Elephas maximus indicus: one gene and its partners. The protein of the gene in region 1 interacts with the protein of each later gene in a pairwise test. Links are inferred from orthologs where the notes say so. Each region holds a gene or a part of one and is shown on either strand. Other genes may lie near its edges.

The links.
Region 2: the proteins of PRR13 (region 1) and SREK1IP1 interact in binary tests that used the Homo sapiens proteins (3 or more experiments, as listed by UniProt). The link is inferred for Elephas maximus indicus from reciprocal best matches to the Homo sapiens genes PRR13 and SREK1IP1.
Region 3: the proteins of PRR13 (region 1) and LGALS3 interact in binary tests that used the Homo sapiens proteins (3 or more experiments, as listed by UniProt). The two-hybrid records come from large-scale screens. The link is inferred for Elephas maximus indicus from reciprocal best matches to the Homo sapiens genes PRR13 and LGALS3.

Annotation. Positions count from the first base shown.
Region 1 is NC_064822.1:108,940,287-108,950,438, reverse strand, and holds the start of PRR13 (proline-rich protein 13), read right to left. Parts: upstream 4,621-10,152; 5' UTR 4,523-4,620; intron 4,355-4,522; exon of another isoform or gene 4,180-4,354; intron 3,866-4,179; 5' UTR 3,845-3,865; coding exon 3,826-3,844; intron 3,264-3,825; coding exon 2,890-3,263; intron 395-2,889; coding exon 350-394; 3' UTR 1-349. UniProt on the Homo sapiens protein: Negatively regulates TSP1 expression at the level of transcription. This down-regulation was shown to reduce taxane-induced apoptosis.
Region 2 is NC_064820.1:69,563,459-69,573,901, forward strand, and holds the start of SREK1IP1 (protein SREK1IP1), read right to left. Parts: upstream 4,036-10,443; 5' UTR 3,955-4,035; intron 3,853-3,954; 5' UTR 3,586-3,852; coding exon 3,573-3,585; intron 1-3,572. Other genes in the region: spliceosome-associated protein CWC27 homolog, read left to right, coding at 4,205-4,246, 8,909-9,005. UniProt on the Homo sapiens protein: Possible splicing regulator involved in the control of cellular survival.
Region 3 is NC_064828.1:67,458,058-67,468,694, forward strand, and holds the start of LGALS3 (galectin-3), read left to right. Parts: upstream 1-5,855; 5' UTR 5,856-5,940; intron 5,941-10,637. UniProt on the Homo sapiens protein: Galactose-specific lectin which binds IgE. May mediate with the alpha-3, beta-1 integrin the stimulation by CSPG4 of endothelial cells migration.

The DNA of each region.
Region 1 (10,152 bases):
TTTCCAAACACACCCCCATCCACCACTATTACAAAATAAAGTTTTTTTTAAAATCACATTTTACAGATCTTAAACTTGTCTTCAGCATTTAGTTCAAAGGGCTCACCATCTTCAAAAAACAACGCCCCTGCTAAACTTATTAGCTAAAAATTCTATCCGGGAAGCAAGAAGGCCTTTACTAGCCCATGGCAATCCTTTTCCCACTTTCCCTAGCCAGTTAGGGCTGAGTGGCAGGGTGAGGTTCAGGCGGGAGGCACAAGGGTTAATTTCCCTCAGTACAACATGGCATCTGAAGCTTGATGGGAGAGCAGAACTGGTGAGACTTGAGGGAAGGGTCCAGGCCCTGTATTCAGTCAGAGTCACTGCTGGAAGAAGAGGAGGAAGAAGAGGAATGCTGCAAGGGGAAAGGGGAGAGGAGATAGCATCAGATCCAAATGATCCTTGATCATCCCAGTGGCCATTCCTTAGTGCCCCACCCCTACACCCAGGTACCCCTTCCCCAAGAAAGTCAGGAGTTGGGAACCAGACTGTCCCTTCAACAGCAAAAGCAAGGGCTTCTTTCAGCAATAAGCATACAGGAATGGATGAAACCATCCTAAATCATTGCACAGAATATAAGGTATTGCATTTGGAGCAAGTATGCAGCTTTCTTTACCTAAGTCAATGCCCAGACAAGGAATCAATTGTAGGCACTAGAACAGTACAGTACTTAGAAACAGCTGCTACCTTATAAATACCTATTGATTAACTGCATAAAAAATTTCTAGTGGCTATGAATCTAAGAAAAGTGAGTAGAAACCGCAGCTGTATGTGCATGTATCTCTACTTTTTCCTAAGCCTCACTGGGAGAAAGTGGGGAAGATGGGAGAGAAGGCTAGGGGAGTCCCATTCAAGGTTCCTTATATGCATAATCCCATCAATACCCACTGCCATCCAGTGGATTCCGACTCACAGCAGCCCTATAGGACAGAGCAGAACTGCCCCAGAGGGTTCCCAAGGCTGTAAATCTTTAAGAAAGCAGACTGCCATATCTTTCTCCAAGGAGTGGCTGGTGAGTTTGAACCACTGACCTTTTAGTTAATAGCAGCGCTTTCACCACCGCACCACCAAAACCAAACAACCAAACCCATTGCCATTGACTCTGACCCATAGTGACCCTATCGGACAGAGTAGAACTGCCCCATAGGGTTTCCAAGGAGCAGCTGGTGGATTTGAACTGCCAACCTTCTGGTTTACAGACATAGCTCTTAACCACCGCGCCACAGGGCTACCATTAAAAACGTTTCTGAGTCTCCAGGGTAATTTCTTCCCCGTTCAATCTCATCTTTCATTCTCCTCAAATTTTAATCAAAGACTCAGAGTCAGGATTCAAGGCCTAATATGGGCCTTAAGAGGGAGTCCTGGTGGTGCAGTGTTTAAGCACTCAGCTGCAAACCAAAAGATCAGCGATTTGAATGCACCAGCCAGTCCATGGGAGAAAGATATGGCAGTCTGCTTCTGTAAAGATTTACAACCTTGGAAACCCTATGGGGCAGTTCTACTCTGACCTACAGGGTCGCTATGAGTCAGAGCCAACTCCATAGCAACGAGTTTGGTTTTTTGGTTTTTATGGGCTTCAAGAGGAGCCCTGGTGGTGCAATGGTTAAGTGCTCAGCTGCTTACCAAAAGGTTAGCGGTCCAAAGCCATCAGAGGCTCCTCAGGAGAAAAGACTTGGTGATCTGCTCCTGTAAAGATTTACAGCCTAGGAAACCCTATAAAACAGTTCTACTCTGTCCTATAGGGTCGCTATGAGTCGGAGTCCACTCAAAGGCACACCAACATAGGCCTTAAGAAGGAGCCCTGGTGGAGACCGTTATGCCCTAAGCTGCTGAAAGAAAGGTTGGCGGTTTGAACCCACCCAGCTGCTACACAGGAGAAGGATCTGGCAATCTGCTCCTGTAAAGATTATAGCCTAGAAAAACCTATGGGGCAGTTCTGCTCTGTCACATGGGGTCGCTATGAGCTGAAATCAACTAGATAGCATCTAACAACATGGGCCTTAAGATGCAAATTAAGGCCTCTTCAAGATCCAGGTAAGCTTAACCCTTCTGGAGTTGTCCTGTGAGCTGGTCTTACCCTTGCTAATTAACACTGCTAGAACAGATAGCAGCCCTAGTGGCACAGTGGTTAAGAGCTCAACTGCTAACCAAAAGGTCGGCAGTTTGAGAATCTGCCAGCAGCTCCCCGGAAACTCTACGAGGCAGTTCTACTCTGTCCTATAGGGGCGCTATGAGTTGGAATCAACTCGACAGCAATAGGTTTGGTTTGGTGAAAACTAAGTATGAAACCCTCTTAGTTCCTGGCTTTGTTTGAGGCTAAGTCTTTCACCTGTCCTTGTCCTCAGTATCCCTGATGAATGGTAGGACAAAAGGCCTAGTTAATTAACAATACACCTTGAAAACACCAAAGGAGACAAAGGAGCTCCAGGAATTAGGGCTAGATTATTATTCTGTTAATCATTATAAAGGACTTTGCTTTGTCCAAGGGCTGACCCTATTAATCAGCATTTTGACAAACTCAGTGGATGTGTCCAACTTGTTAAAACAGGCTTCTGGAGGGGGAGGCAAAGGGGACAAAAGCTTTGGGAGAGGGAACACCAGACAAGAAGGGCTTTTGATTCAGCTATCTATTCTTAGGCTCAGCCTAGACCCTGATAGGTCCAATAAGCTAATATTTCTTCTCAGGATTTCAGTGGGAATCCTTCACAAAAAGGAAGAACTATCTACCAAAGCACCACGATCACCATCCCCTATGGCATAAGACTGAGAATCCCCCTCAACCAACCCCAGCCTGCATAATCTTTCTGAGGGAGCAGGCCCTCTCTACCCAGACTCCAGAGGAACACTGACCTTGCCATGCTTGTGGTGTTTGTGCATCTTTTTATGAGCTTTCTTCATTTTCTTCTGCATCTTCTTGTCCATCACTATTCCTGGTCCTACCATGCCAGGAGCCAAGGGATTCATTGGAGGCACTCCAGGGGCAGATGGTGGGTATGGAGGAGGGCAGGGGCCAGGAGGTGGGCAGGGTTTTGGGGGTTGGCATCCTGGATACCCTGGTTGTGGCACAGGTTGAGGGGGCCCACATGGGGGGAAAGCTGGATTCCCCTGGGGAACTCCTGGGGGTGTGGGAAAGGGACCTGGAGGAAAGGCAGGATTGGCAGGATGTGGATAGACAGGGTTGGGACATCCAGGGTTAGGGCGACATGGATTTGGCCCTGGCTGCCCTGGTGGAAGAAGTAGAGAAAAAATTAAGGTTAGAAACTACCCAGAATCTCTGATAACAACAACAACAAAGAGTAGCAGATTCAGTTTCTCACCCTGTACTTAAAAAGGAAAGGAGCCCTGGTGGCACAATGGTTAAATGCTCAGCTGCTAACCAAAAGGTTGGTGGTTTGAATCCACCCAGCGGCTCAGGGAGAGAAAGACCTGGAGATCTGTTTTCATAAAGATTAACCATAAAGATTACAGCCAATAAAACCCTATGGGACTGCTCTACTTTGTCACATGGGGTCGCTGAGTCAGAATCGCCTCCATGGCACACAACACTTAAAGGAAATGGAAAGGCGAGAACGGAGAAAAGAAGGGTGGGGAGAGAAGCCTGAGTCAGGGAGAAAAAAAACGAACCTGGAAGAGCTGAGCAGAGACAAAAGCAAATGAACTTTGTAGTCTAAGGACTTTGCTTTTGGGGAGGGGAGAATCTGGGAAAAACTGACACAGAAACTTCCTGGAATGGGGCCCATCTGAAAAGGCGGTGGGGAGGAGAGAAGAGATCTAGCAAACACCTACCGGCATTGGGATTCCACATTGTTCAGGTGTTTCCCTAAGCCTGAGGAGAAACAAATGAGGCAAAAAGCTGACGGCCCCCGAGGTGGGAAGGAGATTTTAGAACCCGCGACCACCCTCAACGCTTGCCGCCCCACAGTGGCCTCGCCCACTGTACTTTCAACTACCAGGACCCCTAAGAAACGTTTTCTTCCACTCGTTTTTCGCCCTGAACACCTATTCTATTCCTAGTACCCTAACCACAGGAACCTCTCTCCCATTGCCCCTCCACCTTCCGCTACCTCCGCCACAGATGGAGGTCTCTAACCCCTCACAAGCAGGGCAGAGTCCTTGAAGCTCGCAGTTCCCGTCACTCACCCTCCCCTTCCTCAGACAGAGTCGGAGGGCTTTAACCATCCCATCGCACTGGATAAGGAAGGATCTCAAACAACTTTACCGCTCCCCAGGAAAGGAGGTGGGGGCAGGACTTTCACCCCAGGTTAAGAGAAGGAGAAGCGAAGAAGGGAGCTCAAGACAGATCCTTAAACGTTTAAATATGTAGACACATCCTCTTCCCCGTTAAAAAAAAAAAAAGAGGAAATGGCGATCTTAGCTCCCAGCGGCGATATACCCCTGACCTAGGGATGGGGAAAGGACGAAGTAACCTCGGGCTTAAAGGATGGGGAAAGGAGGGAGTTGGGGGATCCAGATACCCCATTACCTTTACACCACCACCTGGACCTGGTTTCGTCCTTCCTTCCAACCTCAGCTCCCACTTCCTGGTCACCTCTACTTCATGCTTTGGTACCCGCCTCTGCTACCGTCTAATTGGTAATAAGTGGTCATTCAGCGTTAGGACTGGAGAATACTCTCGTCAATCACCTCATCCCTACTAGGTTGGAGGAAATGCTACCTCTAGGGGCGGAGCGAGGTCCTTTAAGGCGAGGCCAGTCCAAAGGGCGGGAAATCCCGTGGGTGCGGACCTAGGAGAAACGGAATGGGGGAAAGGGCGGAGCCACGCCCTGGGCAAAGTCCTGGAGATGCAGAAGTACTCAGGCCATCTTCCGAGCCCACAATCTAGTGGATGCAATACCGTGTATTGCGACTACACCATGGTAACTGTTGTGATACAGATATATACAGAGCTCTAGGGAAAGCTGCTGAGTCCCAGGCCCAGTCCCAGCCCCAAACCCTTAACATTGCCAGCTTCCTCCGGTCATCCATAGGGGGCTAAGAAACATTATTGAGGGATACATAAAGATTTCCTAATCTTTCCCAGGATTCCCCATCTCAATTGTACAGCTCCAACTCTCGAATTGCATAAACCAGAAGCCAAGGGAATCATCCTTGAGGTCTGTTTCTCCATCTCCCCTCCCTCACCCCCATCCAACATGAGAACATGTCCATTTTGTCTGCTGAATAAATCTGGAATCACTCCACTCTCGCCTGGATTGCTGCAATGCTTCCCCCCCCCCCTTTTTTTAACAACCCAGTTTACAAGGTTGATTTAAGGAACATGTGTAGAACCATGCACTCAAAATTCGAGGAACACTGCTTTTTCTTAAACATACCTAGAACATTTATAAAAATTGATCACATTCTAAGTCATACAAGTCTCAGCTGATATAATTCAAATTTTAAAGAATTGTATAATACATATGTTCTTTGACACCAATACAAAATATAAATAAAAACATACATCTGGAAATTAAGGGGAAAAAAAGCCTTCCAAATAACTCATGAGTCAAAACCATAATGGAAATTACTATCATAATGAAAATACTACATCCAAAATTTGTGGGATACAACAAACAAGAAGAAGATAAATGTTATGCTGAGTTTATCATCTTGAACCAGAGCCTTTGATGGATTTTTTAAAACTTTTTATCTTGAAATGGAGTCCCTGGGTGGAGCAAACCATTTGAGTTCGCCCAGAAGCACCTCAGAAGAAAGGCCTGGCAGTCTACTTCTGAATAATCAGCAATTGAAAACCCTGTGGAGCACAGCTCTGCTCTGATACAAATGGGGTTGCCATATATCAGAATCTACTTCATGGCAACTGGTTTGTTATTTTGAAATAATTTTAGACTCATGAAAAGTGCAATACTACCCAGCATTCCCATATACCCTTTCCCCTAATGATAATATCTTACATAACCGTAATACATTCTGACAGATTTTTATATCAGGGTTGTGCTAAATACTTGAAATGGAACGTTTTCCATATTTTCTTAAAGCTGAGGGCAATTTATCTATTCATGATCTTTTTCTTAGAAGATTATTGAATTTGAAAGAAATTATTGATGTATCCATATGGGCATGATGCCTTTTAGAAATTAAATATTTCACTTACTGCTTTTTTTAAAGCAGCTTTATTGAAATATAATTCACATACCATACAACTCACCTATTTAAAGTGTAGATACAATGGTTTTTAGTATATTTAGATGGTTGTGCAACCATGGCCATTATCTAATTTTAGAACATTTTCATCCCCCCTAAAAGAAATTCTACACACATTAGCAGTTAATCTCCATTTCTCCCCCACATTGTCCCCGCCCCATCTCTAAGCAATCTCTAATCAAAGTTCTGTCTCTGAATTTGCCTAGTCTAGACATTCCCTATAAATGGAATCATATAATATGTGGCCTTTTGTGTCTGGCTTATTTCACTTGGCCTGTTCTCAAGGTTCATCCATATCAAAGCATACATCAGAACATCATTCATTTTTATCCCAAATAATATCCCATCGTATGAATATACCACATTTTGTTTATCCATTCATTTGTTGACAAATACTTGAGTTTTTTTTCCATTTTTGAGTTATTACGAACATTGCTGCTATGAATACTCTTGTACAAGTTTTCAGGTGGACATACATTTTCAATTCTATTAGGTATACACACCTAGGAGTGAAATCGATGAATCATATGATAACTCTCCATTTAACTTTTTGAAGATGGCCAGACTGTTTTCCAAAGAGACTGCACCATTTTACTTTCCCACCAGCAACATAGGAGGGTTTCAATTTCTCCACATCCTTGCCAGTACTTTTTATTGTCGGCATTCTATTAGGTGTAAAATGGTATCTCATTGCAGTTTCCACTGGCCTCTTAACCACCTTATCAGCATCCACTCTGACCTCTTCCAATTCATTCTCCATATTGCAGCCTAGGGCGTGTTTTTTAAAAGCCAAATCTAAGGTGCCACTCCTTAAAATTTTTTAATGGCTTTGTATTATCCTTAAAGATAAAAATTATCTTTTTACATTTATATATGTATTTTTATATGTATTTTTGCTTGGACAGATATAGTAAAACCTGTAAAAACAGTAACCTATGTAAGGCAGAAACCTGTCAGAGAAGGAAAACTCAAAATTTTCCACTAAAAGGAATATTAGAAAAATGGTAAGACTGCACCCTCTCAAAGCAAAAAATGTGTAAGACTCTGAAAAACAAGGCAGTCCCATCGAATTTCACTGTAATATGTTCACATGACTTAAAAACCAAAAAGGATAAAGAGGTGTAGAGTGAACATGAAGGGTTCTTCTTCATCTATCAAGCCCCCTTCACAGCCCCTGTCATTAGTTTCTTATATTCCATTATTTTTTTATGTTGTTGTTGTTAGGTGCCATTGAGTCAATTCTGACTCATAGCAACCTTACGTACAACAGAACGAAATACTACCTGGTCCTTCACCATCCTCACAGTCATTGCTATGTTTGAGCCCATTGTTGTAACCACTGTGTCAGTCCATCTCCTTGAAGGTCTTCTTTTTTCCTGACACTCTACCTTGCTGAGCATGATATCCTTCTCCAGTGACTGGTCCCTCCTGACAACACATACAAAGTATGTAAGAAGAAGTCTCACCATTCTTTCTTCCAAGGAGCACACTGGCTGTACTTCTTTCAAGACAGACTTGTTTATTCTTCTGGCAGTCCATGGTATACTCAATATTCCCCAACACTGTAATTTAAGGGCATCAATTCTTCGGTCTTTTTTATTCGTTGTCCAGCTTTCACGTGTATAAGAGGTGATTGAAAATACCATGGTTTGGGTCAGGAATACCTTAGTCCTCAAAGTGATATCTTTGCTTTTCAAAACTTTAAAGAGGTCTTTTGCAACAGATTTCCCCAATGAAATATATTGTTTGATATCTTGACACCAGAGCTTCCAGACAAGACAGATTAGAAAGAAAGACCTGGAAGTCTTCTTATAAAAAAAATTGGCCAGTGAAAACCTTATGAATCCAAAACCAAAAACTAAACCCATTACCATCAAGTCAATTCTGACTCATAGTGACCCTATAGGACTGCGGAGAACTGCCTCATAAGATTTCCAAGGAGCAGCTGGTGGGCTCAAACTGGTTAGCAGCATTTTGGTTAGCAGCAGTGCTCTTAACCACTGTGCCACCAGAGCTCCAACCTTATGAATGGCAGTAGAATATTGTCTGATATAGTGCCAGAAGATGAGCTCCACAGGTTGAAAGGCACTCATAATACGACTGGGTTAAGAGCTGCCTAGAGTCAACCTTAATGGCATGGATGGAGTAAAGCTCTCAGGACCTTCATTTAATGAGGTGACATGACTCAGAATGAGAACAGCTGCAAATATATGTTAATAATCAGAACATGTAATGTACAAAGTATGAATCTAGGAAAATCAGAAATAGTCAAAAATGAAATGGAACATAAAAAGATCGATATTCTAGGCATTACTGAGCTAAAAGGGATGGGTATTGACCATTTTGAATCAGACAATTATATGGTTTACTGTGTTGGAAATGACAAATTGAAAAGGAACGGTGTCACAGTCATCGTCGGAAAGAACATTTTAAGATCTATCCTGAAGCACAACACTGCCAGTGATAGGATAATATCTGTATGCCTAAAAGGAAGACTAATACAATTGTTTTTCAAATTTACATACCAACCACTAATGCCAAAGAAGAGGAAATGGAAGATTTTCCAACTTCTGCAGTCTGAAATTGATCAAACCTGCAATCAAGATGCATTAATAGTGACTGGTGATTGGAATGCAAAAGTTGAAAACAAAGAAGGAGGATCTGTAGTTGGAAAATATGGCCTTGGTGATAGAAACGATGCAGGAGGTCACATGATAGAAATTTTGTAAGAACAGCAACTTATACTCACTGCAAATACCTTTTTTCAGCAATATAAACTGAGGCTATACGCATGGACCTCGCCAAATGGAAAACACAGGAATTAAATGCACCACATCTCTGGAAAGAGACGACGGAAAAGCTCAATATCATCAGTCAGAACAAGGCTGACTGCAGGACAGACCATCAATTGCTCATATACAAGTTCACACTGAAGCTGAAGAAAATTAAAACAAGTCCACAAGAGCCAGAGTATGACCTTGAGTATATCCCACTTGAGTTTAGAGCCATCTCAAGAATAGATTTGACACATTGAACACTAACAACCAAACACCAGATAAATTGTGGGATGACGTCAAGGACATCATACATGAAGAAAGCAAAAGGTCATTAAAAAGACAGGAAAGAAAGAAAAGACCAAAATGGATGTCAGAAGAGACTCTGAAACTTGCTCTTGAATGTAGAGCAGTGAAAGTGAATGGAAGAAATGATAAATTAAAAGAGCCAAACAGAAGATTTCAAAGGGTGGCTTAAGAAGACAAAGTAAAACATTATAATGAAATGTGCAAAGACCTGGAATTAGAAAACCAAAAGGGAAGAACACACTCAGCATTTTCCAAGCTGAAAGAACTGAAGAAAAAATTCAAGCCTTGAGTTGCAATACTGAAGGATTCTACAGGGAAAATATTAAACGACGCAGGAAGCATCAAAAGAAGATGGAAGGACTACACAGAGTCACTATACCAAAAAGAATTGTTAGATCTTCAACCATTTCAGGAGGCAGCATAAGATCAAGAACCGAATGGTACTGAAGGAAGAAGTCCAAGCTGCACTGAAGGAATTGGTGAAAAACACAGCTCCAGGAATCAGCAAAATACCAATTGAGATGTTTCAGCAAACAAATGCAGCACTGGAGGTGCACACTCCTCTATGCCAAGAAAGTTGGTGGACAGCTGTCTGGCCAACCGAACGGAAGAGTTCCATATCTGTGATGTCTTTGAATTATGGTGATATCAAAGAATATTGAATACAACATGGTATTTTCAATATTGAATACACCATGATTCAAATACATCATTTCTTCTTTGGTCAGGCGCTGTATCCATTTGTTGAACCCTCAACTGATAAGCTATCAATTCCTGGAGCCTTGATTTTCACCAGTGCTTTCAGTGCAGCTTGGACTGCTTTTTGGTATAGTGACTCTGTGTATTTCTTTCATCTTCTACTAAT
Region 2 (10,443 bases), on another chromosome or scaffold:
GAAGCTACAGGTACAGACCTTCCCTTTACACGCTATATACTTCTCCTGAGTAAAGTCATCTATTCCCACAGCCTTGTTGTTGTTACGTGCCATCGAGTCGATTCCAACTCACAGTGACCCTATAGGACAGGGTAGAACTGCCCCAAAGGGTTTCCAGGGGGCGACTGGTGGATTTGAACTGCTGACCTTTTGGTGAGCAGCGGAGCTCTTAATCACTACATCACCAAAGCACCTTTATGGTCTTTATGGCCTTACCTCCTATTAAATGTGTGAAGACACTCAGATCATTATTTCTGACTCTGGTTTGTTTCCTAAGCTACAACTTTTCTCTCTACCTGCCCACTAGATATCTCCATTCTTACAACTGAGCACACCTCAACACAACATGCCCCAAACTGAAGCCATCCTCCCCCTAATCCTGCTCCTTCTCAGGTGGTGCCTGTATCAGTAAATGGGCCCACCTAGTTGCCTAAGGAGCCCTGGTTGCTCAGTGGTTAGAGTGTTCAGCTGCTAACCAAAAGGTCGGTAGTTTGAATCCACTAGCCACTCCATGGGAGAAAGATGTTTTGTCTGCTTCCATAAAGATTATAGCCTTGGAAACCCTATGACGTAGTTCTACTCTGTCCTGTAGGGTTGCTATGAGTTGGAATCCACTCAATGGCAATGGGTAATTGCCTAAGTGAAACCTAGGTCAACCTCATTTCCTCTCTTAGCCACACACATACTGAATCAATTACCAATTCGTAGTGATTCTACCTCCAAAAATATATCTCCAATCTGTCTACTTTTCTCCATTCCTACTGACACCATACATTAGTCAGGTATCATCACAATTAAACAAAATTATCCTGATTTGTGACTTTTCCTCCAAATTAGCTCTCCTCCAGCCTGTGCAGCCAGAACAATCCTTCCAAAATGTGAATCTGCTTTAAAACCCTTAAATGCTTTTCAACTGCCCTTACAATCAAGTCCAAACTCTTAGTCATGGCTTATAAGGCCCTTCAAGCTGGAAATGCTTTATAAGTTATACTATAAACGAAATCAAACCTGTTGCCAAAGTGTCGATTTCAACTCATAGTGACCCTATAGGACAGATTAGAACTGCCCTGTATGGTTTCCAAGGAGCACCTGGTGGATTTAAACTGCTGACCTTTCAGTTAGCGGCCGAGGTCTTAACTACTGTGCCACCAGGGCTCCAAGTTATACTACAGCATAGCAAAATGGTAAGAACACAGCGTCTAGGGGTGCCAGACTGACCTAGCTCCATCGTTTACTAGCTGTCTTACAAGTAGACAAGTTACTTGATTTCTGTCTCAGTTTTCTCATCTGTAAAATGGGAAAAATAGTACCTATTTCAGTGGTGTAAACCCTGGTGGCATAGCGGTTAAAAACTACAGCTGCTAACCAAAGGTCGGCAGTTCAAGTCCACCAGGTGCTCCTTAGAAAGCGTACAGGGCAGTTCTACTCTATCCTATAGGGTCACTCACTACGAGTTGGAATCGACTCTCGACGGCAACAGCAACTGGATCTCAGTGGTTAAGAGCTAAGGCTCCTAACAAAAGGTTGGCAGTTTGAATCCACCAGCCGCTCCATGGAAACACTAAGGGGCAGTTCTACTCTATCCTATAGGGTCATATGAGTTGGAATCGACCCAATGGCACACAACATCTCACAGTGCGGTGTTCCCAGGTGGTGCAGTTAATATGCTCAGCTGCTAACTGAAAGGCTGGAGGTTTGACTACACCCAGAGGCACCTCCAAAAGAAAAGCCTCGTGCTCTACTTAAAAAAAAAAAATCTGCCATTGAAAACCCTGTGAAGCACAGTTCTACTGTGCTCCACATGGGGTCACCACTGATAGGAATCCACTCAATGGCAACTGTTTTTTTTTTTTTTTTTAATCTCATGGTACAGTCCTGAAAGTTAAATGAGATGCCTGGCACAGTGTCTGACACATTTGATACATAGTAATGCTTAGTGAATATTAGCTACTGTTATTATCCCTCTAGTTCATTTCTCACTTGTCTCCTGTTTGTATTGAGTTCCATTCATGGTAAACATCTTTAATTTCTTTCTCTTACTGAGCCTTTACACAGCATTTCCCATTCCCAATCTTTAGGTCTCATCCTAAATGGCACATCCTGGCTCCGCCTGTACCCTATTAGGTGCCCTTACTATGTGCTCCCCCTGCCATAGCATTTGCTCCACTTTCTGGTACTTTTTTTTCTCTTCACAGCTAGATTTTAAGTTCTGTGTTTAGAGGGACATGTCTATCTTGCTCATCACTGTATCCCAGTGTGTATAGCACAGTGCCTGGCACACGTAGGCACTCAATGAACATTTGTTATGTGTATAAGTGAGTTGTACTTTCTTCTCTCACAGCGCCTTACGTGTTCCACTTAAAGCTGTACAAGGTAATAAAGCACAAACTTCTTAACAGCTATAGGCAAAATACATTTCTGAAAAGGCTGCCACAGGTCAAAGAACAAGGTCAAATAATATTGGGAAGGCAGGTTTAAACAAAACTAGGGCTTCTGAAACTTAGCACTTCTCAGAATTTTTTCTATACTAAAGTTTACTGTGAATTTCCAGACTGAGAAGGGGTACAGTGTGAACTTTGTCTCAAAACATCTCCTGCAACCAGTGTTCCAAGAAACACATTGTCACAAAACTTAAGGAGATGCTTTCCCCTACTAGAATTTAAGAGTAAGGTGATAGTTGTGGAGGACTAATTCTCTGGTGCACTAAATCTGCAGGGTTCACCGTTTTTAGGTCAGTAACCCAGGTGGAGCAGTGGTTACTCGATTGGAACCCACCAGCTGCTCCGTGGGAGAAAAGACCTGGCGATCTGCTCCCATAAAGATTTAAGCTTAGGAAACATTATGGGATAGTTCTAACCTGTCCTACAGGGCCACTGTGGGTTGGAATCTACTCGACGGCACATGACAGTAATTCTTTATGGACACAGAATCTAAGTGTTGGAAGGAACCTTAGACATAAGCAACAAAGTTCCTTCTTTTACAGATTTGGAAATTGAGGCCAAGAAGGGCAAAGCGACTGGTCCACGGCCACACCACAAGGACATCATACAAAAGGAAAAGTTGGACCTAGAACCCCAGTGGCCTGTTTCATCCCGGCGATTTCCACTACGAACAATGCCTCTCGCTACTTGGGTTCGCCAAGTGCTGCCCACTTAAAAAAAAAAAAAAAAATTTTTTTTTCAGCCATACCAAAAAAAAAAAAAAAAAGGGGGGCAGGTCAATTTTTCTCGGCCACCCACCCCCTTAGGCCTACAGACACTGCCTACTGCCTCTGGCTTCCTTTTTTCCTCCTTTAAGCGTGCCCCGTAATCCTAGAGCAGCCGGGGCTTGGTTAGAGGTGGATGAGATAGTTTCTTTCTCATCAGTTTATTTTTGGAATCAAAACTTCCCAGTAAACCAAACTACCTGCAGTCAATTTTAACGTCTCCGTCTAAATCGCCTTGGGCACTATACTCTAGTCCACAGCCCACTACATCCCACTCTACCCATTCCCTTGCCCTCCGGGACCCAGGAGCCCCGCCGTCGCTCTTCACCTGGGACTGCCATGGCGCTGGCAAGAGAGGTCGCTGGAGCCCTTGCCTTCTAAGGGCGCGCTCGCTTCCCACCGGCCGCGAGGACAACGCACAGCCAAAGCGGCCTCTTCCACCGGCGCCGCGAAACCTCCACTACTTAGCCTCGGAAGGCCCTATAAACCTCTGGATATAGCGGAACCAAGCAGCCGTCCATGCAGTTTCCTTGCGAGTCATATGGCTGAACACACATGGACCGAACCATTACTGCCAGCTTCGGGGGATGGGTATGACCTGCATTCTCCTGTAGTGAAAGTCAACACCAACAAGATTTGTATATAGTTCCTTTAAATATTTTGGTAGAAATTACATTTAAGTAAGAAGGTTGAGACTCTTTTCTCATTACCTGGAAGACATTGGAAACCCCTTCTCAGCGTTGGCGGTGCTGGAGTCCGGGAGCAACATGGCGGCGTCCGTGAGGCGTTAGTTTTGGGAAAGAATAGTGTTTGGTGTTGCAGTTTTGCAGGACTTCAACTGACCGGAGCTTTCTGCGACCACCCAACATAAGGAAGCGTGTACTGATAGGCGGACAGCTCTAGTGGCCGTCCGTCAGCTCTTCTTCCTAATAAGGAGCAGATTCCTGAACACCGACCAGGATGAGCAACATCTACATCCAGGAGCCTCCCACAAACGGGAAGGTGAGAGCCTCACCTAGGGTCCCTGGGCTCCGCGAAGGGTAACCTCCTCAGTTAGGAGAGTTTGGGGTCTTACCGTTGGGAGAGACCAGTGGTGTATTTCTCTCTGTCTCCGAACATGATTGCGCCGAAAACCGTAGGCTGGCATTGCTCAACATATACATGAGAGTCTTCAGGTGGAGATTACTCCATCTTCCAACCCTCAAGCCTTATTATTTCCTGCTCTCAACTCAACTCATGCCGGTATTTTTTAGGGCCTTAGGCTTTTAAAAGTGCATTTTAAAATTTGACATATTCTTTGCTTAATTTGGGGATCTCTCTTTCACCATTCGTTCTAGAATCATTTATTGAATTCTGCTGGGCACCAAAAAACTCCACTGCCGTCGAGTCGAATTCGACTCATAGCGACCCTATAGGACAGAGTAGAACTGCCCTATAGAGTTTCCAACGAGCGCCTGCATTATTCTCTGGGGCTCCAAAGATGGGTGGGTAAGGCCTAGTCGTTGCCCTGGAAGAGCTTATTGTTTAGTTTGGGAGACAGGCATAGTACAGAAAAATCTTATGATACGTTTGGTTTGTGGGCTGTGGAGAGAGGGGTGTATAGCTATGGTAGTACTGAGGAGGTGAGGAACTGAGAAAGTTCGGAAAAGCTTCATGGAGAGGGTATCTTAGCTGGTCTTAAAACATGAGGTGATTTTTAGTTAGAGAGAGTGGGGAATGGGGAATGTTCTCACATTTGAATGGGAGAATGATTTCCTGATAGATTTGGTGGTTAAGGTGTGTCAATTCCTGCCCAGGGTGTTTGAATGCAAAGTGGGGCAGAGGAATCAGCAGTGGAATAAATGTCACCTGAATTCTTGAACTGAGAGCTAGTTTATATCACACACGAAATTTGATGAACCAGCATAATGGAGAAAATAGTGTGACTGGAAGTATATAGGTGAATTAGGATAAACTAAATTTGCTGAAGTTAAAATTCTGTTGTATGACTGTATCCTAAATTATCCAGTATTCTATTGAGGGACATTTGGTAATGTAACAAGGGCAATATGAAAACAACAAAAACAAAAATACTGTAGCAGCTATCTCCAGCAAAAGTTGTAGTGGGTCTTTTGGGCAGAATAATTCTTTAAATTCTTTGTTTTTTGAACATCTCCTGGGCATTAGCATTTGTTCCCTCTCCCCCACACACATCATCGTGAAAACCCAAAATACCTCCCCCCTCATATTTCCAAATGTTTCTTGGAGATAATATCACTCCCAGTTGATAAACACTGGTAGAAGACTGGATAGATTGCCCAGCCTGCCAGGCAGGGCTTTCACATGTGCTGATACTCTCCCTGGTATGCCCTTTTTCCTGCTAAGATGTCAACTGAGCAGAGAGGTCTTTCATATAGAACCTGCTATGAAATAGCAAACCTCATTCATCATGCCCAGCATCTCAGCATTCCCTGCCCCTCCTTAACCTCATCAGTTTTTTTAATAGTTGTTGTTGTTAGGTGCCCTCCAGTCAGCTCCGACTCCTGGCAACCTTATATGTAACAGCACAAATTTTGCCCGGCCGTTTGCCATCCTCACAATTGTTGGTATGTTTGAGCCCATTGTTGCAGCCACTGTATTAGTCCATAACATTGAGGTCTTCCTCTTTTTCACTGAGTTTATCAAGCATCATGTCCTTCTCCAGAGGCTTGTCCCTCCTGATAACATGTCCAAAGTAAGGAGCATTCTGGCTGTACTTCTTCCAAGACAAATTTGTTTACTCTTCTGGCAGTGGATGATATATTCAGTATTCTTCGCCAACATCAATGGTTCATAAACTGGTCATTGCACACTTCAGGGGGTGTGCAAAACCACCCATGGAGTATGGGAAGAAAATCTTCACACTTTTATTTGTATTTATTTTCTCCTTTAATTTTTTAAATGTCATGTTTTGTATGTTCAAAATAACATATAAGCAATTATAATTGGAGATCATTGATTCAGGGTTACAAGGAAGAGAAGACATGTCTAGGTTCCCTTTAACAACAGTGTTTTATTTCAAGTTTGTTGTTGTTAGGTTCCATAGAATCGATTCTGACTCATAGTGACCCCATGTGACAGAGTAGAACCACCCCATAGCTTTTTCTTGGCTGTAATCTTTATGGAAGCAGATCATCAGGTCTTTCTCTACGAAGCCAGTGGGTGAGTTTAAACCGCCAGCCTTTCAGTTGGCACCCTAGCACTTAACTCTTTGTGCCACCAGGACTCCTTTATTTCAAGTATACATGGGGATAATGAAGAAGGACAGGCTGCTGCTTTTTTTTTTTTTTTTTTTTTTAGGTATACTGGGATGTACATCAGGTCCATGGAAAATCAGGTGTTGCACAGTGTAGTTATAGATACAGTCCAAGGTGGAGGGAGTTACCCAGCCTATCAATTTGCGTTCTAATAGTATGCTTTCTGGGAGACTGAGAATCCAGTAGGTTTGGTTTGGAGTGTCTTTTTTGGGCATTGTTTCATACTATGCCAAGTTAAAAGGCCTTGCTCATATCCAGACAATATATTGTCGCCTTTGACTTAGGCAGTGATCCGTATTGAAATCAGTTGTGTCCAGAGTAATCCAGAGATTTCCCTTGAGATACATGGCAGGGCCAGGTAGCACTGGGCTCAAGTCATTCACTGTGTAAAGTAACTCAGATAAGTTACTTTATGTGAGTGTTTCTTATAAGCAAAATGAGAGTAATGATACCTTGTACGTGAGGGTTAAATGGGATAAGTAAAATGGGAGTAATGATACCTTGTACATGAGGATTAAATGAGATAAAATATGTAAAGTGTTTGACATAGAAGCTGACACATGGAGGACATTTAACAAATGTCCCCTTCTTTTTGTAAAGGAAGTTTAGTGGACTGAGAAAATTGTACGTGTTGCATTTCTAGTTCTTTTGTATTTTTTTAGGGTTAAGGAAACCATTTTAGAAGCTACCACAACATAGATATTTTCACTCCCCCCACCCCATGGTTGTTGAAGAAGAGAGCTATGTAGCTAGTAAAAGCCCCCAAAGGTACAATGATTTCACCAATGTTATATAACTTACTGCAGTGTATCTAGGCTTCTGAAAAAGAAATTCAAAGGCAATGTGTTATAGTAAAGGCACTGCCCCGGGAGGGCGGAGAAAACCAAAAAACCAAACCCATTGCCGTCAAGTCAATTCCAACTCATTATCCTGTAAGGGCAGAGTAGAGCTGCCCCATAGGGATTCCAAGGCTGTAATCTTTACGGAAGCAGACTGCCACATCTTTTTCCCTCAGAGAAGCTGGTGAGTTCAAGCCTCTGGCCTTTGGATTAGCAGCTGAGTATTTTAATCACTGCACCACCAGGACTTTTGAGAGGGAGGAGAGCCAGGTGCTATTCCCGTTTTGTCATTAACAAACTCTCTGATTTGTGACAATTTACAATCTCTCTGAGCTATCTGTAAAAAAAAAGCAATCGAACCTGTTGCCCTCGAGTTAATTCTGACTCACAGCGAGCGACCTGACAGGACAAAGTGGAACTGCCCCATAGAGTTTCCAGGGAGCGCCTGGTGGATTCAAACTGCCAGTCTTTTGGTTAGCAGCCATAGCTCTTAACTACTACACCACCAGGGTTTCCCATCTGTTAAAAAAAACAAACCAAATCCTTTAATGATGAGTTGATTCTGACTCATAGCAACAGTAGAACTGCCTGTAGAGTTTCCAAGGAGCACTTGGTGGGTTGGAACTGCCGACCTTTTGGTTAGCAGCCATAGATAGCACTTAACCACTACACCACCAGGTTTCCCATCTGTAAAAGGTGGGGTCTTATTTGAATGATTTTAAAGCTTGCTTCCAGTTCCAAAAAAAGTATATTTGTGGAAGTCAGGTAAATGAGTTTTGGACATAAAGAGTGCGGTTTATGTCCATGACATTAACTACCCGTGAAAATAGCCTCATTAAAAAAAAAAGTTACATTGGATAATCTTTATTTGTAAGAATATTCTAAATGACATTTATTGACACTGATCTACTTGGAGACACTGGGGGAAAAAATAAAAAAGTGATACTGGAGAAACTGGGCTCCAGCTGTGCTACAGTATTCAAATTTTGAGGCTAATCTTTTTGGTTATTAATGACAGCTATAAGCTGTTCCTCAGCTTACAGGGGTTTTGATTATTGCAGCACAGCTAGTTCTTCTAGGGAGTAACTGTCTATGAGCTGATAGAAAAAAATAAAATATAAATTTTTTTTTTCTATCAAATGATTATATTTAATATAGGTGGAGATTTTTAAGACATACCATTTTAGTAAGTACTAAACCTAGAATTAAATTAAGGATATTAGTAATTTAGGAATAGTGTGATTTTAAATGAGCAAGTAGGGTGTTTATATGTAAAAAGATCATTGTAAAATTGTCTTAAAGTATCACAATTTCATTGCTGACTTTTCTTAATTTGCTACACCAGTTTTACGAGAAGTGATGCAACGGGAAACTTTTACAATGAGCCGCAGTGAATATTTGAAATTTTGTTGAGAATTACAACAAAAGCCAAGCAAAGTTTCTAATTTTATTTTAAAATCCACTAGTGAATGCTACAAGTTGAACAGCCATTCAGCTGATGATTAAGTAAAATGATAATTTAATATAACAATGTAATATTCTTTCTACAGGTTTTAATGAAAACTACAGCTGGAGATATTGACATAGAATTATGGTCAAAAGAAGCCCCTAAAGCTTGCAGAAATTTTATTCAGCTTTGTTTGGAAGGTAATCGTAAGTCTTGAGTTTCATTCAGTAGGATACATTTTTGTTAATTTAAAATTAAGCTGCAGTGTATTTTTTGACAACTTCGAAGACTGGTGTTAAATTGGTATGAAAGATCTGATGTTGAGCTACGTGTCAGGAAACAGAGAGAGGAAAATTATTTCCCAAATAAATCTATATAATTTTAACAGAAAAATTTGTCTCATCAAGGAATACTTTGATCCTTTTTATCACCTTTGCTAACTTCTACTTCTTTATTTCATCCTCTAAATGTGGGTGTTCCCCAAAATTGCCTCTAGTTCCCTATTCTCTTTGCTATTCAGTTTTTACCTTCACCCAAATGACTACTAAATTTAAAACTCCAGCCATTTCTTCTCAGCTCCAGTTTTACATTTTTAATTGTCTAGTGAACTTTTATACTTGAGCCCTATTACTGTCAGCTCCAGCTATCAGTTGCTATAAAGTCGATTCTGACCCATGGTGACCACACGTGTTATGGAGTAGAACTTTGCTGTATAGAGTTTTCATGTTTATGACCTTTTGGAAGCCTTCCCAGGTGCCTGTGGGTAGGTTCGAACTGCCAACCTTTCGGGTAGCAACTAAGTGCTTAACTGTTTGCACCACCCAAAGATTCCCAGCTCCAACTAAACTGTTACAAAACCAAGCTTAATTTCTTCTCCAGACTGCTTTGACTTTCACCTGCATAGTGGCTATAATTACCTCTTACCTGGTCTTCCTTTCTCTGATTGTTAATCTCCATACCCTCTTGTTTATTCATCTGGTATTTGAATCCTTAGGTAGGATGGCTCCCTAGCTTTCTAACTTTATTTCTCATTGTACCCACCACATAGTTTCAGTTGACCACTGTCTTTATTTCCTGAGTAGTTTCTTTTCTTTTCCACTTTGATGTATATCCTCATAGTAGTTCTCCTTTCTGGAATACTTTCTCTTCCTTTCTTTACTCTTTAAGTCTTACCTGTTTTTAAATGTCTGTTCAAAATTCAACTTTTTCTATGAAGCCTTCCATCTAGCCTTCAGTGCTGTTATTATCAGTATCTTTAATATTTTTTATATTTGAGTCATACAGTGACTATTTTTCTTTTTAGAGAACTATGCAGAGTTATATATCTACCTGAGTGTTTTTCCCTTCAGAATATTCTCTTAGGGAAACTAAACATTCCAAACATTTTTGGAGCTTCTTGTTGGCTTTTAGAATACATTGCATATGGTTTTGAATATCTCCAGTAGCAGTAAATCATTGTCCTTCAAATTTATATCTGATTTCTAGAGACAGATAAGGTTATTCAAGGTATCAGGAAATAGCATTTTGAGTCAAAAGCAAGATATGAAAGAGAATCCAAAGCAGTGGTAGTAGGGTACAGTGAGAGCTCTCCAAATACATAATTAGATAAATATATAATTACCAGGGGAAGGTTTAAGG
Region 3 (10,637 bases), on another chromosome or scaffold:
GAAGAATATTGAACATGCCATAGACTGCCAAAAGAATGAACATATCTCGCTATGAGTCGGAATCAACTCGACAGCACTGGGTTTGGTTTTGGTTTTTTTGGTTATCTGTCTTGAAAGAGGTACAACCAGGGATGGCAAGACTGTGTCTTATATACTTTGGACATGTTGTCAGAAGGGATCAGTCCCTGGAGAAGGACATCACACTTGGCAAAGTACAGAGTCAGTGGAAAAGAGGAAGACCCTCAACAAGGTGGATTGACACAGTGACTGCAACAATGAGCTTAAGCATAGCAACAATTGTTGAGACGGCACAGGATTGTTGGTGTTTCATTCTGTTGTACATAGGGTCACTATGAGTCGGAACCGACTCGATGGCAACTAACAACAACAGCAGATTGTGAGAGAATAAACTTCTGTTTGTTGAAGCCATTCACTTGAGGTGTTTCTGTTACAGCAGCATTAGATGGCTAAGACACTCACCCTTGGAGACTTTCCCTTTTTCCTGCCATCTTCATCTCCTCCTCCCTCCTGGCTTTCTCTATCTGAAGTCTTCCTCACTTGGACACCTGCTGGACCTTTTTCCACCTGCCACAGCTTCCCCTAAATTCTTCTTTCCCCTTCTGATGAGAGGTCTCTTCTAGGGTTCTTGCTTATTTATCAGTCTCCTATAAAAACAAGTCATTCTCTTGCTTGAAGGCTAAGGCTGAGCTTGTCCCTTATTTCAAGTAGCACAGTGATGTGTGCATAGAAGTTACTCAATAATATTTTTATCAATTCTCTTAGATTGCATTTACACTTATCTTGGAAGAGCTTATATAGGCTTGGGGTTAGGTACCAATGAGTAATTTACTGCTTGTGTACAAATTATAAATTCCCAGGCAACCCTGATCACAGCAACATCCTTTTATTTAGCTTTAAAGGGCATGAATTTGGTACCAAAAAGTGCATGGGGATGTGCAAGGGTGGAAGTGAAGCAAAAAGAAAGTTTGATCACACAGGACACAGGCTTTATCTATCCCTGAAACGGCTACAGATTACCAAAAAGGAAAGGCAAGAGGGTGACTCATCCCTTGTCTCCCTAGCAACCCATTTACTGTCCCTTTTTTCCTATTACTTGTGGCTAACCCTCTAATGGTAGTGGTGCCACGACTGGCCATGTGACCTCATGACTCAAAGTCTTAAGGTTTACAGCATTTTCCTAAGAGACAAAGGGCATTCCTGTGGGCAATTCCTTTTTAATACCTTTTACTACGGCTGCTGATCCATTCAAGTAAATTGGTTGCCAGGCAACCTGTTCAGAGAAGATGTTGTATTTTCATAATTAATCCTCAATGCACACAGTGATTTCTGTGCAAGCCTCTAAACCAAGTAAGCTACAGAGAGGACATTGATGAAAAATAAAGTACCGGCCATTAAGGCACTTACAAATTTATCCTAGAGGGTGCCAAGACATCTTCACAATTCCACCTAGTGAGTCCTTCACGTAGACATTTCTCTCCTATGGTGGACAACAGGATGAAACTATTTGTACACAATGTATGAATTATTTGGTTGCTTTAGGTAGCACATGCATTATTTAGCAATCAGGTTATACCTGGTTTTCTCCGTGGGTGACATAAACCAATCCCTACCAGAATTTTTTGCTCAGTGTTTTCCTGGACCAGTTGTGAAACTTTGGACCTCTGGGCTGTCTCCCTAGGCATTGATTAACTTTGATAAGTAAATCACTTTCCCTGACAGTAAAAAAAAAAAAAAAACTTATCTATTTCCTCGTACAAAATAATACGGTGAGGTTAAAAGCAGAGTATATATGGAGTAACTTGAATGTCCTGTGTAAAATATATTAAAGAGTTGATTAATAATTGCTTCCTAATGGAATTGCTTTGAGACTAGGTCTATTTATCCAAAAAAAGTGGTAAATTTTTAGTCAATTCTTCAGGAAATGGATATTGAGAAGGTAGGATTTTTTTTTTTTTTGCAAACAAAAAAAAACCCAAAACCCGTTGGCGTCAAGTCAATTCCGACTCATAGCAAGCAACCATATAGGACACAGCAGAACTGCCCCACAGGGCTTCCAGGGAGTGGCTGATGGATTAGAACCATCAACATTTTGGTTAGCAGCCAAGCTCTTAACCACTGTTCCACCAGGGCTCCCAACAAAACCACCTATTAATTGAATTTTTCACTCTTTCAAATTTTGATCATTTTTAAAGGGCATCAAATAGATAAGTAGAGGGAAGAGTATTGAAAATAATAAAAGTGAACAACCCACAGGATTTTCCTCCAGTGCTCACACCATAAATGTCCTAACAAATATTTATTGCGAGCCTGCTGTATGTACCTTGGATTCATCAGTAAACAATTCAGCAAAGAGTTTTGCCCTCAGGAGAGGAAGTAAAAGCAGAGGCAGGTGGGAAACCAATAAAAAAAAACAATAAACGTCCTAAGTAAGTACAGTGAAGTACTGTTCAGCCACAGGGAGGGGTAAAGTCCAACTGGGTGGAGGTGCCTGCTGCAGTTTTATAAGGGGTGGAAAGAGTAGACCTCATGGAGAACGTGATATTTGAGCAAAGACTTGAAGTAGGTGAGAGAGTTAGGAAACAACAGGAGAAGAGAGTTCCTGATAAAGGGGACAGCCAGTGCAAGATGCTAAGACAGGAGTGTGCGTTGTGCCTGGTGTACTAGATAAACAGCCTAGAGGGCTGGTGTGGCCAAGGTGGAGTGAGTAAGGGGGACAGCAACAGGAAGGAAGGTCAGAGTTAAACTCTAAATTAAAATGTTTGCTTCCTTCTCTAATTTTCCCTTAGTGCCAAAAAAACAAAACCAGTTGCTGTCTAGTCAATTCTGACTCATGGAAGCTCCATGTGTTTCAGAGTAGAACTGTACTCCATAGCACTTTTGATGATGGATTTTTCAGAAGTAGATCACCAGGAAGAAATCCAAGGTGTCTCTGAGTGGACTCGAACCTCCAACCTTTTGGTTAGCAGCTGAGCATGTTAACCATTTGCAATACAGCTTTATATATCATGTATACTTTGTTCTCTAACATCATAAGATCCCAAGTAACCAGGTTACTCAGGTCAGCTAGCATAATTTCTAAGTTCATAGGAACATTGCAGCCCACTGTGAATCACTTTTTAAAAATATTAATTTACCTTATTATTTTTAGAGTAACAAAATGATTATGTTTTGTACATTTTAAGTCAGACTTTTCATTAATCTCTACCCTTCAATCACGTTCTATCAGTGAGATTGTATTACACTTCCATTTTGGTTTACTGAGTGAATCCATTGCCCAAAGCAGGACATGCATAGCTATAGCACAAAGTTACATCACAACCACCAGTAGGCCAGTTCTAGCCAGGCCAGAGGCTATAAGCTTCCCATAGTCTTGTTTTTGCATGAGCAGGACCCCTCCCATAGCTCCTCTCCTGCTCAGTGCAGCCCCCACCCCACTGGCCTAAGAGCACTCTCGCTAGTGCTAACAAACCAGGGACATCTGCTGTGTCCCTGCTCTCCTGCTCTCCTGCCCCTTGGGTGATGTCCACTACCTACATGAAGGAGTTTCACATTGGCACTTCCAGAGGCCTTCCAGAGCGAGAACACAAATGTCTGCCCCAGGAGGCAGCTCTAGAAATTTGTTGACAGCCAGTGCAGTCCTGGGCTATGTGGAGAAGGGGAAGAACAGCTGCCCCACACCTGAGGGCTGTATTTTGTCACCTGGGCCCTGATGCAGCTTCTCTCAAAAAAAAAAAAAGCTTCTATAAAGACAGCACCATCAGTTTCTGGCCCCATCCTTTCTCCCTGGGACACCAACCCAGCAAACGAGGCATGTAGGACTGAGATTGTTATGTCATCTCCTCTTGATTCTTTGTCCTTACTCCATTCCGTTGCACCAAAAGCCCTTCCTTGTCTAGCCAAAGATCCAAAAGCTCCCAGACATGTCAGATCAAACAGATCCAGAGGCTTTCTCACATATGCTATCAGCCAGACTCGGAATCCCAGTTTGAGATAGGAGACTGTGTTATCTGGAATTGAAACATCACACAGAAAGTACGAGAGACAAAGGGGTCAAAAGGGCAACCCTGCTCCTTCCTCATCTCAAAGATAATTCTACCTTGTGGTCAAATATTCTTTCCATTGCTGAATGACTTTCTCAGCTCCTACTAAATCTATTAACTTTTGGTGGATTGTTGTTGGCATTTTTTGTTGTAGTGATGATGAGTATTTTCTTTTTTTTTTTTTTTTTTACCTCAGTCTGTTGAGTAGCGAATATTCCATTTCCAAAGGCTTATTTCTTAGACCCTGACACACTTTCAAGGAGCCTGGGTGGTATAAGTGGTTTATGATCAGCTGCTAATCAGTGCAAGAAAGGCCTGGCAATATGCTTCCATAAAGATTATAGTCAAGAAAACCCTATGGAGCGGTTCTACTCTGGAACACATTGGGGTTGGCATGAGTTGGAATCAACTGGATGGCAGCAGGTTTGGTTTGGTTTTTGTCTGATATACTTTCAACTTGATGTATGTTGTGATCTTGGTCTTACCTAATACTCTGTGCCTCAGTTGTGTCATCTGTAAAATGGGTATGAAAATAATACCTACCTCATATTTTTTTTCATATGTGTACGTAAAGCACTACTAAGTGTAATGCAAGGCACATAAGTGCTCAATGAATATTAGCTATTATGATTATTATCTGAACTTTTAAAAAATCCACCTTGACATCCTTAACCATTTTACTTGGTTATTACCCAGTTAAATGCTACTAAACAAATACCACCTCTCTTTGCAAGCATAGCCATTTACTCTAACAACCTTTCATACAGCCAGCCATAGGAAAAGACCAAAACTAAACTGGTTACCATTGAGTAGGATACAAGTCATAGCCACCCTACAGGACAGAGCAGAACGACCCCACGGGTTTCCCAGGCTGTAAATCTTAGTGGAAGCAGACTGCCACATCTTTCTCCTGTGGGAGCAGCTGGTGGGTTCCAACCACCGATCTGGTAAGCAGCTCAGCGCTTTAACCACTGCGCCACCAGGGCTCCTTTCATATAACCATAGCAATGTCCTATCTCCGCCTTTACCAAAGGTAATTTTTGTATTTAACTGTTATGTCTTCCAGCAGAACTCTCTCCAATCTTTGAGAAAACAGATATTCAGCCTTGCTAAGAAGTGATTCATCCATTCGCTTGTTCATTCATTCATTAAGCAAAAATTTACTGAGATCCTTCTAGCCCCAGAGGCTGAACTAGACGCTGAGAATGTACTGGGGAGCAAAGAGCAAAAACAATTCGGGGAGCTCAGTCTGGACCGTGTGTGCCCACATCACAGTTTTACGGGTCTGAGGTCAGAAAGGAGAATGAACGCAAGGCCTAGAACGCGGGACAGGTTCACCTTGCGCGGCAGGAACTTTCTGACAGGGATTTCCGTATCGAACTCAAATCAGTGTGCTTTGATGCTGACAGGTGGTTTCAGTAAAGTGAAGTGGAGAAGGGATGAGACTGCTTGCTATTCAGGCAGAAAATGCACAAGGTTAAATAAAGCAAGCAACAAGCTCACACTAAAAGCTCAGTAAGCTCTCCCAATCCTCTTTGAAGCTGTGGGAGTGAGTCTGGAGAGAGGAAAATGAACGTGGTCACACTCACATCTCGGGACTGCTGGGGCGGGGGACGAGGGGACGCCGCCCTTCAGGGTCCCACTGGCCGGCCCCCACTCCCTCACAGGACTGAGTCTTTTGCACCGGCGGGGCGGCCGCCCGGGTCCCGGAAGGGGTTCGGGCCTCGCCCAGCCTGGTGCCCAGGGAGAGGCAGGGCGCGCAGGGCCGGCGCCCCGCCCCGGGCGAGGCGGGGCAGGGCCGGCCTATTTGAGGCGTGGAGCCGCAGCCCGGCCAGGAGCCCCGGGAGCGAGCGAGGCAGCCAGCGGACTCCGAGGCGGGGTGAGCGGAGGGGGCGCGGGGTGCGGGTGCCTGTCAGGCCGGCTCGGGCCGGGAAGGGGCGCGGCCCCTCTCTGGAGCGCTCGGCCCAAGCCTGGGCGACCGCGGCGGCCTGGGCACGGACGGCGGGACGCACCTTGCTCTGCCAGCCTGTGCGGTCCGGTGGGCACCGCCTTTGGGGAGGGGTCCATGACCTTAGATTTTCCAGGGTCTGAGACTCGGGGAAAGTTAGCAACGACTTACAAAGATCCACTACGCAGCGGGCAGGTGTGTCTGCGGACGTCCGGCGGGCGGCACGGAGCACTCTCTGTGGCGCCTCGGAGGATTTAACCACCCTGCCCTCCCTCCGCTGCCTCTGCCAGCATTGCTTTATGGACGTGGAGTAAATCCTAGTGCTTGATAAGACACAGGTCAATCGGCTAGGTCGAACTGCGAGGGGTTATCAAACCAAGCAACCCTCGCTAGCTTGGCATTAGGAGCCAGGTCCCCTTTTCCCGGCACCCCGAGGACTCTATAAGGCGACTCTTGGGACTCATGACTTGCCTGCCCCGGGCTACTTCTGTGTGTCTGCCGAACTTTCATCTGCAGATCTTGCTGTGGGCGCGAAATGAGTTCTTTTAACGGGTCCAGCAACGTGGAGGCAGGGGCTGCAGCTTGCTGTCAGAATGCTGACCCCACAGAAAACGCTGCTGTCCCAAGGCCTGAGAGCGCATGTGTCCAGTTTGGCAAAGTCCGGGAGCCCTAAACTTTTGCAAATCAAGTGACTCATTCCTACCCAGAAGGGTTAATTTGGGCTGTAAGAATTCAGATCTGTGCTGAGGATATGTGGGGTGTGGCAACATGTTGGTCTGAGTGCGCAGAGCCCTAGCTAGGGGACTTTTAAAATAGGTTTGAGGGTTTATTCTGAATTATCAGTTGCTCACACTAAAATGCTTCCGCTCTGGGAGTAGGAATTAAATGCCGGGGAGTCAGGCACACATAGATTGAGGCTGTGTCTTAGGCTTCAGCCCAGCCCTTTAAAGATTCCTATTCCAGATACTGTGGAATATTTGTAAAGTGACTCTTGGAAGTTGGATTGCTGGACAATGAGGACAGTTGGGCCTCAGTGATCTGGTCTGTTTCTAGAATTCTGGGAAAGAAATGGAAGGCAGAGTCACTTAATTTTTAGAAAATGATAGAGATAAAAATTAGCCACAGAGCATCAGAGAAAATCTTCACCAACTTCCAATATTCTGATTTGTTTGCCTCAAGATTATAAAGTTTATCTCTCTGTATTAGGAAATGGTTTGTTCCCATGAAAGTTATAGCTTACTAATAATTTAATTTCCCACAAAAACTGTGTTCTTTTCAGACATCAATTTTGATTCCTTAGAGTGGGGTCTTTGATTTCTTTGATGGTTGGGCCTCATTTGTGTTCTTTGGGGGGGGGGGGGGTTGGAGCTGCTTCCTAAATTTAGAGTTTAGAGTTTACATTTACATCCAGCATTTATTCCATACCCTGGAGGGAAGTTTGATGGTGGTCCTTGCATGTTTATAGCTCAGAAGTGTTAGAAGGTTGCCTCACTAAGTTACGTAAGTAGCAGAAGAGGGAAGTTTGGCCTGACTGATTGACCCCTAAAGCTAGTCATTTTCAAGCAGAATAGATGAATCTGTTTGTTGAGGGGTAGCTTGCTGTGCCACACATACACCTAACACACCCACTGCCGTCGAGTCGATTCCGACTCATAGCGACCCTATAGGACAGAGTAGAACTGCCCCGTAGAGTTTCTAAGGAGCGCCTGGAGGATTTGAACTGCCGACCTCTTGGTTAGCAGCCGTAGCACTTAACCACTACGCCACCAGGGTTCCCACATACGCATAGGTGCTTCTTAAAAACTTTTGATCTATTGCTAGCGAGGTCAAGTGACTCATGTTGGTCTTACCTATAATTTAGGTTTACTTAAAAGCCAAATCCAAACCCATTGTCGTCGAGTCGATTCCGACTCATAGAGACCCTATAGGACAGAGTAGAACTGCCCCATAGGGTTTCCAAAGAGCAGCTGGTGGATTTGAACTGCTGACCTTTTGGTTAGTAGCCTGAACTCTTAACCTAGAACCCTTATTAGCCAGACTCTGAATCTTAACTGCTACAGAGAAGTGTATTTATACAGTATAACTTGACAATCTTGTGTTGACCCTAGTATCAAGAGGCTTGTAAATTTATGTATCTGAGCCTCTTGGTGACTGATCTAAAACATAGCCTTTCTTTCCTGAGATGGCTTGGGACACAGCTTCTGCAGAGGGCAGCTGTGTAGCTCTTTGTGTCTGTTGCCTAAACTGGTTCTTCTTATAAAACTCCAACTGGGTAACTGAAGAGACTGCCAGAACAGTGCTTGCTGTATACTTACAGTTTGCTGTTGACTAAGTATCATATGTTCTGTCTTGATTGCTGTTCAGCTTTTCCATAGGGGAAAAAATCAGTAACTGGGAAGCACAAAGTAACTTTACCTCCCTTGATGCTGAGAAACTATGATGAGGACAAAATCCAAGGAGAGGACTGGTCTCCTTTATCCCAACTCAGCATCATGGAATTCAGCTTTGGAAAATAGACTTTCCTCAAGCCCCACTCTGAGTTTCTGCAAGAGCAGGAAGTAGACTGCCTCTCCTGTGTTCTTTAGGGAGTAGGGTGGTGCAGTGCCCTGGGATTCTGAGGAAATATGTTTATGATCTTCCACTACAGCTTGTGTAAAGGTCTGCTCTAAAACTGAGCAGAAGCTTCACAAGTGTTCCTGGGAACCCAGACATAACTGGATTAATTGCTAGGTGGGCCTAGAATAGCATAATGCAGTGGGTAGCTACTAGTTATTAAAGGGAAAAGCTACTAATTAACAGCCGATTAAAATGGTCTACATTCTGACTCGTGTTTAAATTCCTCGTTCTAAAGCTACACGGAGCTATAATGTGTAGTTTTCCCAAATGTGGAGACCTAAATAGTATCTCTCTCTCTTTTTGCTTGTCTTTCATTGTTTCTTTTCTGATTCTTTAAAATTCCCTGATTCTGGGAATGCCAGGATGGAATTCATATATCCGTGGGGTGGGAACTTTTTTTTTTTTTTTACATTTGATTGTCTCTCTTTCTATAAACCACTCATAAAGTTAAAAAAAAAAAAAAAGAAGAGGAAAGGGAGAAATTTTCTAGGCAAGTAAGGAAGGTATTTATTCAAATAGGTATCTACTTTAAAAAATAGAAGTTCTGAGGTTGCCCACGTTGACTTCAAAAGAGTATTGGTATAACCCTCTCAAAAAAGGATCTGAAGTTTGGAGGTTGACATAATCAAAAACAGTGTGTACTCAATTTTTGGAAAAGTACACTTTATTGGTTAAAATGTGGTTATAATTAGCAAAGTGACTGTGCCAAATGGCATCCTGATATTCAACATCACTGAATGAGTCAGCCAGTTAGTTTTCTGACAAAAACATAATCTTGTTTTTTAATTTGTTTACAATTTCACCATGTTAGGTAGTTCTGGATGAATAAGCCATAGAATTAATTTCTAAATGAAATAATTAACACTTTCAAAAGACTGTGCTTTCAAATCTCAAAGCGTGAGGTGTTATATTTGTATAGAAGGAGCCAGAACCAGGGGTCAGGAGGCTTGGGTCCTGGTCCTTGGCCTGCCAATGACAGTATGACTTTGGGCCAACAGGTGAGCTCTCTGAGCCTCAGCTTCCTCAATTTTAAACTGGGAATACTGTATTAATTTTCCCGTCAGTCTCATAAGATTGTTATCAGAATAGGTAAGCTATGTGAAAGTGCTTTGTAAACGGAAAAGTACTACACAAACGCAGGGTGTTATTATTCTAATGGGCTTGTCTAATGTGTCACAACACAATCCAAACTGTCATCCAAGGCGTATGTGAAACACAGTGGAAATAAAGTGAAATCTGCTTTGTTGCTCAAATTGTATTTGGCTGAGTTGAAAAACAAACTGAAGATGTTTGAGCAAAGGCTTTGCAAACATAAGTTAAATTTGGAAGTCTCCTCTTTATGTGAGTTTCTGATTGTAATTGGCCCTTAAACACTATTAGTTTGACTGGAATTTTGGTCATAAGTCCATTGCACTTATGGGCCTTTACGAGGACAATGACACAAATTTAGCTAGTTTTAACAATTGAAACTACCTTTTTGTTATTTGGGTACCCTGGTGGCATTGTGGTTAAGTACTACGGCTGCTAACTGTGAGGTTGGCAGTTCGAATCCCCCAGGCGCTCCTTGGAAACTCAATGGGGCAGTTCTACTCTGTCCTATAGGGTTGCTATGAATCAGAATCAACTTGACAGCAGTGGGTTTGGTTTTTTTGGTTTTTGTTATTTACTCAACTGTGTGTGTACATTTATCTAAAGATATACATGCTAATCAGCCCAGACCACTAGTTCTCAACCAGGCGTAGTTTTGTCCCACAGGGACATTTGGCACTGTCTGGAGACATTTGGGTTGTCACAACTCGTTGGTGGGTGCTACTGCCAAATATCCTACAATGCGCAGAACAGCCCTGCACAACAAACTGTCCAGTCCAAAATGAAAGAGCCCTAATGCAATGAAGACATTTAAATGAGGTAAAAACACTTATAAAGTTATTGCTGGGTCTTTTTTGTGTTACTCAAGGGTGGAAGACTTTGTGCCGTCCAAGGAATGAAGTTCTCTGCGCATCTTGAAGTTC